Nothobranchius furzeri: one gene and its partner. The protein of the gene in region 1 interacts with the protein of each later gene in a pairwise test. Links are inferred from orthologs where the notes say so. Each region holds a gene or a part of one and is shown on either strand. Other genes may lie near its edges.

What was found.
Region 2: the proteins of atf2 (region 1) and atf3 interact in binary tests that used the Homo sapiens proteins (3 or more experiments, as listed by UniProt). The link is inferred for Nothobranchius furzeri from reciprocal best matches to the Homo sapiens genes ATF2 and ATF3.

What each region holds. Positions count from the first base shown.
Region 1 is NC_091754.1:21,204,565-21,208,216, forward strand, and holds the end of atf2 (cyclic AMP-dependent transcription factor ATF-2), read right to left. Parts: intron 2,385-3,652; coding exon 2,170-2,384; 3' UTR 19-2,169; downstream 1-18. UniProt on the Homo sapiens protein: Transcriptional activator which regulates the transcription of various genes, including those involved in anti-apoptosis, cell growth, and DNA damage response.
Region 2 is NC_091742.1:15,053,934-15,057,685, reverse strand, and holds the start of atf3 (cyclic AMP-dependent transcription factor ATF-3), read left to right. Parts: upstream 1-1,478; 5' UTR 1,479-1,582; intron 1,583-2,263; 5' UTR 2,264-2,264; coding exon 2,265-2,510; intron 2,511-2,598; coding exon 2,599-2,706; intron 2,707-2,790; coding exon 2,791-3,090; 3' UTR 3,091-3,752.

The DNA.
Region 1 (3,652 bases):
TAAAACAAAACTAGCATAGATGTTTAAAGAGGTATTAAAAGGTTTATTACAACAACGCAACGATTGAAATTTTATACAGAACTTTCACATGACATAAACACTGTCAACACCATATCACACCCAGGTTTTGAAGCAGTTTAAGCCAGGGTAAAACAAATCACAACTCAAGTCGTAATAACTTGTTTAATTGACCATTATTTTCTTAGTTTGAGGCGTCATTAAACAAAGTCAAATTCTCGTAGAGAATCGTTGTCTCATGCAGAAAGCACAACAGTAAAACTTTAAAAATCCCATTTTCAGAAAACAATGTGTTGGTAAAAACTACACAGTAGTAAGCCAGTAGGGACTAAGAGAAAAAGCAAACTGACTTTAAAAGCTGGGCTTTGTTTCTCATAATTAATGAACAAATAATCACAATCAGTTTGTGTAACTAAAGTACACGATGCGATTCCAGTTCACATGAGAATATTTTCATTTTACAATCTACTGATGCATTCTAATCAGATTAAAGGTCATTTTCTTTAAACTTGATGTGATCAAGAGAGTTCATCTACTAAATGTGTACAATCTTATATAACAAAGTACATAATATCAAGAATGACCACAGGCAAGTTCAATATTGATGTGTTCTTTGTTTTTCTTACAATGTTTACTAAAAATGTCATCTAGAATTGCCATCATGAAAACAACCTAATGTCCCTAAATGTTCTGCATCGGATACTGAAGACACGCATGAAGCAAACACAGTAAACAGAAGAAATCTGAGAGAACAGCAATAAACTCAGGTTATTCTTATTTTTTTTAATGCACAGAGGTAATTTATACAAAAACGTTAATGGCACTGAGTAAAGTCAACGTCACCATGACGGAGTAATAAACAAAAAAGTACTGCGATCCTACAATCACTGCTTCAGGGACAATCAGACTACAGGTGGAGTGTTAATGAAAGACGCAAATCCAGCCGGCTCACCGGTGTGACGCTATTTTACATGCAGAGGCGAGCTCAAACATTCCCCAACGACAGCTGATCTTGTTTTCATAAACACTCGTCAAATTAAAACTCCGGTTTTGTGTCCAGAATTTAGACCAACTTCTTAATAAAGCTGCCAGTGTCTCGCCACCTCTCCAAAAAGTAAACCCATCTCCTCTCAGATATGTGGAAAATGGTCAAAGCAAATTTACTTAAAGCAAAAATCCAGAGTTTTTCCTCAGAGGGCACCATCTAGAGGTGGAAAAACGGTATTACACCTATGAGCCCTTTTCCCTGCTTCTGTGATCATGGCTGGAAGCAACGCCCCTCGTGTGTGAAAGTGCACCTCTGGCCGACAGACGTAGCTAAAACATTGTTTTACAATTAGGACGACGGTGGTAGAGGAGTTACGTGGCCGCCTCGTAACTGGAGGGTTGTGGGAACGAGTCCCACTCAGTCCGTCACAGTGGTTGTGTCCTTGAGCAAGACAAGTTACCTTGCCTGCTGGTGGTGGTTGTTAGGGACCAGTGGCACCTGTGTTTGGCAGCCTTGCTTCCGTCAGCCATTACAGCTGTGGCTATATTGTAGCTCATCACCACCAGGGGATGTCTAACACTACTGGCTAATGCTAATGCTGAGAAGTGCTCAATTCAAACTGCACGGGGCTCTATGGGATGGAGGCAATCTGAGCCCAAAAAAGAAAAGAAAAAAAAGTATTGCTAATTATATCACAGTACCAGGTAACACTACCACTTTTACTAATTTCTAAAAAATTATACATAATTCCTCGAAAGGGAGAAAACTCCAGATTGCTGCTTTAAAGTATCTTCATCATAAAGGTAGTGCTTGTAAAGTTCAAGAGCATTAAAAAAAGAGCAACACCACACTTTGGTAACAACTGACTGCTCAATCACTTCACTTGGCTGATTTCCAATCAATAAATATAAAGAAGATCAATAAACAAGTTCAACAAATACAAAAACACCTAAAGTGCATGTTCTTCTGTTTTCAGCAGTTACAGAGAATACGTTGCATGTTTAAAAGCATTCCTATGAATTACTAAACAGGCCAAACGCAATACAAAGCAATCAAGAGAGAATGAAAAAGTGTACAATCTGAACTGAAGCGGAGAGAGAAACTATTTCCTCTGCTTGTCTGAAGAGACCGCCGCGCTCCAGCGTGGATGCAGTTTGGGACGATCAGCTCCCTGAGGACTGGGATTTGGTAGCGCCCCTCCGTGGCTGACTCTCCTCTGTGCTTGGGTTAGCCGAAGCGGCACTGGCTGGGGCGGAGACGGCCGGAGCTGAGGAGGAGCTAACCCCATTGGAGGTGCTGACGGAGCTGTGCTGGATAGCCTCGTTCTGGGGGCTGCTGGGGATGGACATCTCCTCGCAGCTCTCATCTTTGTCGGAGACTGTAAAAACATCAAACAACAGCCGGCCGCGAGGCTTAAATATCCTTCCTTACATTTTATTTCAGCAGATAAAACCCAGAAGGCAATGGGGTAGCCGTGTCACACAAGCCTATTTGCATGTAAAACAGCTATCAGCGTGTAGAGGATGCAAACCATTTCATTAATCCCCATAATGCTACTTCTGCACCCCTTTCCTTTAATTAACGCTCCAATGTCAATTTAAACCCACATCATAAGGGGGCATTACATTCTGGGGCATGTGGCAGCGCTTCCCATCCCTAACTGCAGTCTCATTTGTTTTTTGTTACCTTGCCAACTACTGCAGCGACAGATGATTACAGCACCTGATTTTAATGATGCTCACACTGGAGAGTAGGGAAGACTTGGAGTCGAAATGCCACCAGCTGTTAGGCAGTTGCATTGAATTAATTGGATCCTGATGGGAAAAAAAAGACTCCACTCTCATGCTCCGTTTCATACAGGAATAAGGAGCACGATGATAATTAATATTGCTAATGATATAAAGTCGCTTGTTACTCCACTCTGTAATTAATGAGCAGGTCTTTGAGAATCTAAAATACAAATTCCATCGAAAGGGAGCAACGTCTGAACGGCTGTAGAGAAGTCTTCCTAAAAGGGTGTTAAGAAAAACGATAAAGCACACGTTGACTTCTGTTTCAGGTCAAAATCTAAATTAGCTTAGTGGTTTTGTTTCATGTTCAAGCGAGCATCATTGCTCCTAACAACACCAAGTGGCGGCCAGCTGATTTATCATAATACTCTGAAATTCCTGCTTCCCCGGGTGGGCAGAGCTTCTTTCCGCTCTCTCGCTTTCTGAAGCAGAGGCTCGCTGTAAACAGATGGACGGCTCGTGGTGCCAAGTGAAACTGTGTCCTGGCTTGTTGGTGGGGCAGTCTGGGCTATTTCCTTCCACCAGCCAGTTCCTGCGCCTGGGCAGGGGGATTACGGAGTCCGGAGGGCAGAGTGGCCGTACGGGAGTTGTAACTCTGAGAGACTTTTATGAAGTCTGTACATGAATGATCAGAGTCAAATAGTGCTTTACTAATTACACTGATATTTAAAGTGGCACCAAACCAGGGGATCCTTGTGCTTTTGGGGTCATTTCTGCAGTTGTTGAGGACTAAATGATTTTAGATTGTGGTGGGCTGCATGGTGGCGCAGTGGTTAGCACTGTTGCCTCGCAGCAAGAAGGTTGCAGGTTCAAAACTCGGCTGCGGTCTTTCTGCGTGCAGTTGTGTGTTCTCCCC
Region 2 (3,752 bases), on another chromosome or scaffold:
CAGCTGAAACTGGAAGTTTCTTTATTACTGGGAAAGTTTCAGCAGGAAGGGAGGGAGGGGCGATTGAGGAGCTGGCGAGAAGTGATGAAACGGGTCACAGAAAAGTTTCACTTTGATGTATTTGTAATATATAATGTTATATTATTATTATTATATTGTTATTACAATATAATAAACACAAGACAATTACTAAAATAATAAAACAATGTTGATCACATGACTGACGTCCAGTCCCTAGAGCAGCAGCCCTCTACAACTGGGCCGAGGCTCGGTACCGGTCCATTAAATATTTTTAAAAATTCCAGAAATATTAGTTTATATGCAGTTGTCCACAGGAGCTTTTATTTTGAAAATTAGCAGTATTAAGCCTCCAAATATCCCAGATTTTAATTCCGTTTAATTTTATTTTTCGTAGTTATTTTTGAGATCCTTATAAATCTTTTACAGGAAATGTTCTCTTAAAATAACCAAAATAAATGGTCTGTAAATAAGGTTAAGAGATCCAGAGATAAACATTTAGAAGTTTTTTCCAAATATAAACATATTTTGTACAATCAGACCAGATCTGTGAGGTTTTTCAGGAAGTGATCCGACTTAAATCCCTTTAATCCTGCCGGTAAAACAACGCAACCTGTGGTCTAACGGAGCAATTTTCCCTGTAAGGCAATGGGTTTCCATGTTATTTGCCTGCTGCTTAATGGTTTTATTAAAGGTTTCAATGAAAAAAGCATTTCAACCAGGATCAAACATTTAAAGTTTCAAAATAAAAGCACAAACAGCATCATGGCCATTATTCCCTGAATCATTTCGAACTTCACTGTTTTCAGGTGACCTCTGACCTTTGGAATCTCTCAACGGGCGACTAAACAGGATCAGATTAGTTAGAATTAAGCTACAAAAACACACACACACACACACACACACACACACACACACACACACACACACACAGCTGAGACACACAAAAAAACTTATCTATAAGCTGATCCTTCTTCCTCCCACCATTAGCTTCTCCAGGCCCTGATGGAGGTGTAACCTCAATAAATAAAACCCATCCGGTGTCATTCAGCCAGAGCGAATCACTTCACGTCCTAATGTGGAATGTTGGGATTGGGAAACTGTGTCTGTGTCAGATCAGTGAGAGCACTCGGGAAGACACGGCGCTCAGAACTTTTAATCATCTGTGATTTCTGCTGCTTTCTAGGAACTTACTCAGAGGAAGTGTGTGTGTGTGGGGGGGGGTGGGGGGTGGGGGGGGGGGTGTTTGGTCTAAAGGAAGGATGGAGAGATGAACTGAAGGAGAGGAAGAGGAGGAGGGGTTGTGTTGTAGCAGATCAGCCCGTGGTTGCCTGGTTGCATCATCACACAATCACATTTATAAATAGAATTACGTCATCCAGCTCAGAGCTGCTCCTCTTGGCTCCTCCCGCCACGTCACAGGCCCCGCCCCCAGCCCGGATCATAAAAGCCGGTGATGCAACCGATTCGGGTCAAACGCAACTCAGAGCAGCGGCGACGAGCGAGGCTCCTGCAGGCGTTCACTTCCTCAACCCGTCCGGACCGTCCGATCCAGAACCAACAGGTAGGCGGGGGGTTCCGGAGGGAGGGGGTGTTTCGGGGGAACGGGGATGTCCCGGTGAGGAGCGGAGCGCTTCCCGGTGGGCTGAATGAAACCATCAGGATTTGATTTATTTAAGAAATAAACGGAAGTTTTTATTGATTCAACTTATTAGATTTGAACTTTGACCGAACTTGTTTGAACTTTTAAAGTTGATTCAAACAGTTTATAGTAAACAAAACGCATAAAATGACTTTAAGATGTTATAATGCAGATTAACTGTAAACGTGAGCCGTTTTCTTATGAAGATGAAATAATTCCTTGATGTAATGGTTCAGATTTAAGTGTTGAGAAAAACACAAAAGAGTCGAACTTAATAAATAAATAGAGCTGCACGTGCAGCTTTCACGATGTTGCTCCTGCTGAGATTCAAACCTGATCATAAATCCTTCTGCTGTGTTTGGGTCAACGGTAACTCCTGCTTTATTCTATTAAGTTCAGGGCTCCTCTAGGTTAGATGTTTGGCTGTCAGCAGAGCTGTTCAGGAACAGCTGATCTTCTCATTAGTTGAGTTTGTTCCTGAGGAGTTACTCAGCCGAAAGAGAGCAGGAGCTGCTCCTTCAGCAGCTTTAGGAGCTTCTTGGATTATTTGATGTGAAACTTGTTGCATATTTGATTTAGTCATTGTTTTTTATTTTTAATTAGAATGATGCTGCAGCATCCTGGTCCTTCTCTGGCCGACATCAGCTGCTCTGCTCTGGTGCCCTGCCTGTCCCCACCGGGGACGCTCACCCTGGACGACTTCACTAATTTCACACCCATCGTGAAGGAGGAGCTGCGCCTGGCCATCCAGACCAAGCGTCTGTCCAACGGGCTGAGCGCCGACGTCAGCTCAGACGGCTCCAGCTCGGACCGGGCCTACGAGCGGCCCTCCGCCAGGCTCAAGAGAGAGGTGAGACGGAGCGAACTCTGAGGTTACCTGGTCTGTTTGTCAGACGGGGATCAGGAGAAGTAACGGCGTCTGTCTCTTTGGCTTTTAGTTGACTCATGACGAACACGAGAGGAGGAAGAGGAGGAGAGAAAGAAACAAGATTGCTGCAGCAAAGTGTCGCAACAAGAAGAAAGAGAAGACGGAAGGTCTGCAGAAGGTAAGAGACTTTTGTTCCCTTTCACTCTGAAACCCAGCTCATGAAGAACAACATTAACTCCTCCATTGTCCCTGTCCTCCTCAGGAGTCGGAGAAGCTGGAGAGTGTCAACGCGGATCTTAAAGCTCAGATCGAGGAGCTGAAGCAGCAGAAGCAGCAGCTGGTCTACATGCTGAACCTGCACCGGCCCACCTGCATCGTCCGGGCCCAGAACGGCCAAACGCCCGAAGACGAGAGGAAGCTTTTCATCCAGCACATCCAGGAGAGCACCTTACAGCTCCACAGCCTCACCTCCTCCTCCTCCACCTCCTCCTCGTTATCTACCGCCACAGTAGCACCTCTGGACGGAGGCGTCCTGACGCTTGACGACATCCAGTGTCTATGATGGTGATGCTGTGAGACTTTCTCCACCTGCGCCAAGAACGAGGAGACGTGGATCAGCTGCTGGAAGCAGCGTACAAAGCCACGTCTCCGTCCTTCACCTCCCAGCTGCTGGGACGTCCTGGACAGAGGACAGACGCCGACGCACTGAAACCAAACAAAAACCCAAACTTCACTGATGTTTTCAATAGTTAGTGGTTTGATTTTTGTCCCGGGGTGATTTTAAGGTGACTGATGCACACAAACCGTTCTGTGGAAAGAAGAGTAGCTGCAGGCCGGTTGAGTTTAACCTGCTGTAGAAAACCTATTTATTAAGGTAGGATGTGATGTTAGCGACCCTCTGAAGCTGCTGCTGCTAACCCCTCAGGACACAGACGTAGATGTTTAACTAACGGGAGTGTTTCTAGTAATAACGGGAATGATTCCGTGCTGCAGCCATGGCTGCAGCCTGTAAACATGACAGGATAATCGTATATGCAGATGATGAACTTCTGTTCTGTTCTCCTGCAGGACTGATTGTATTATTAATCCATCATTTTATATCTGTGTTGAAAAGAAGCTAAAGTGTTATTTCTACTTAATTCTGTTCCCTTTTTGAGCTTCTCAGACCAAAACCGCAATTATTAGTTAAATAAGCATATTTATTAAACATCACATTAAATGTCT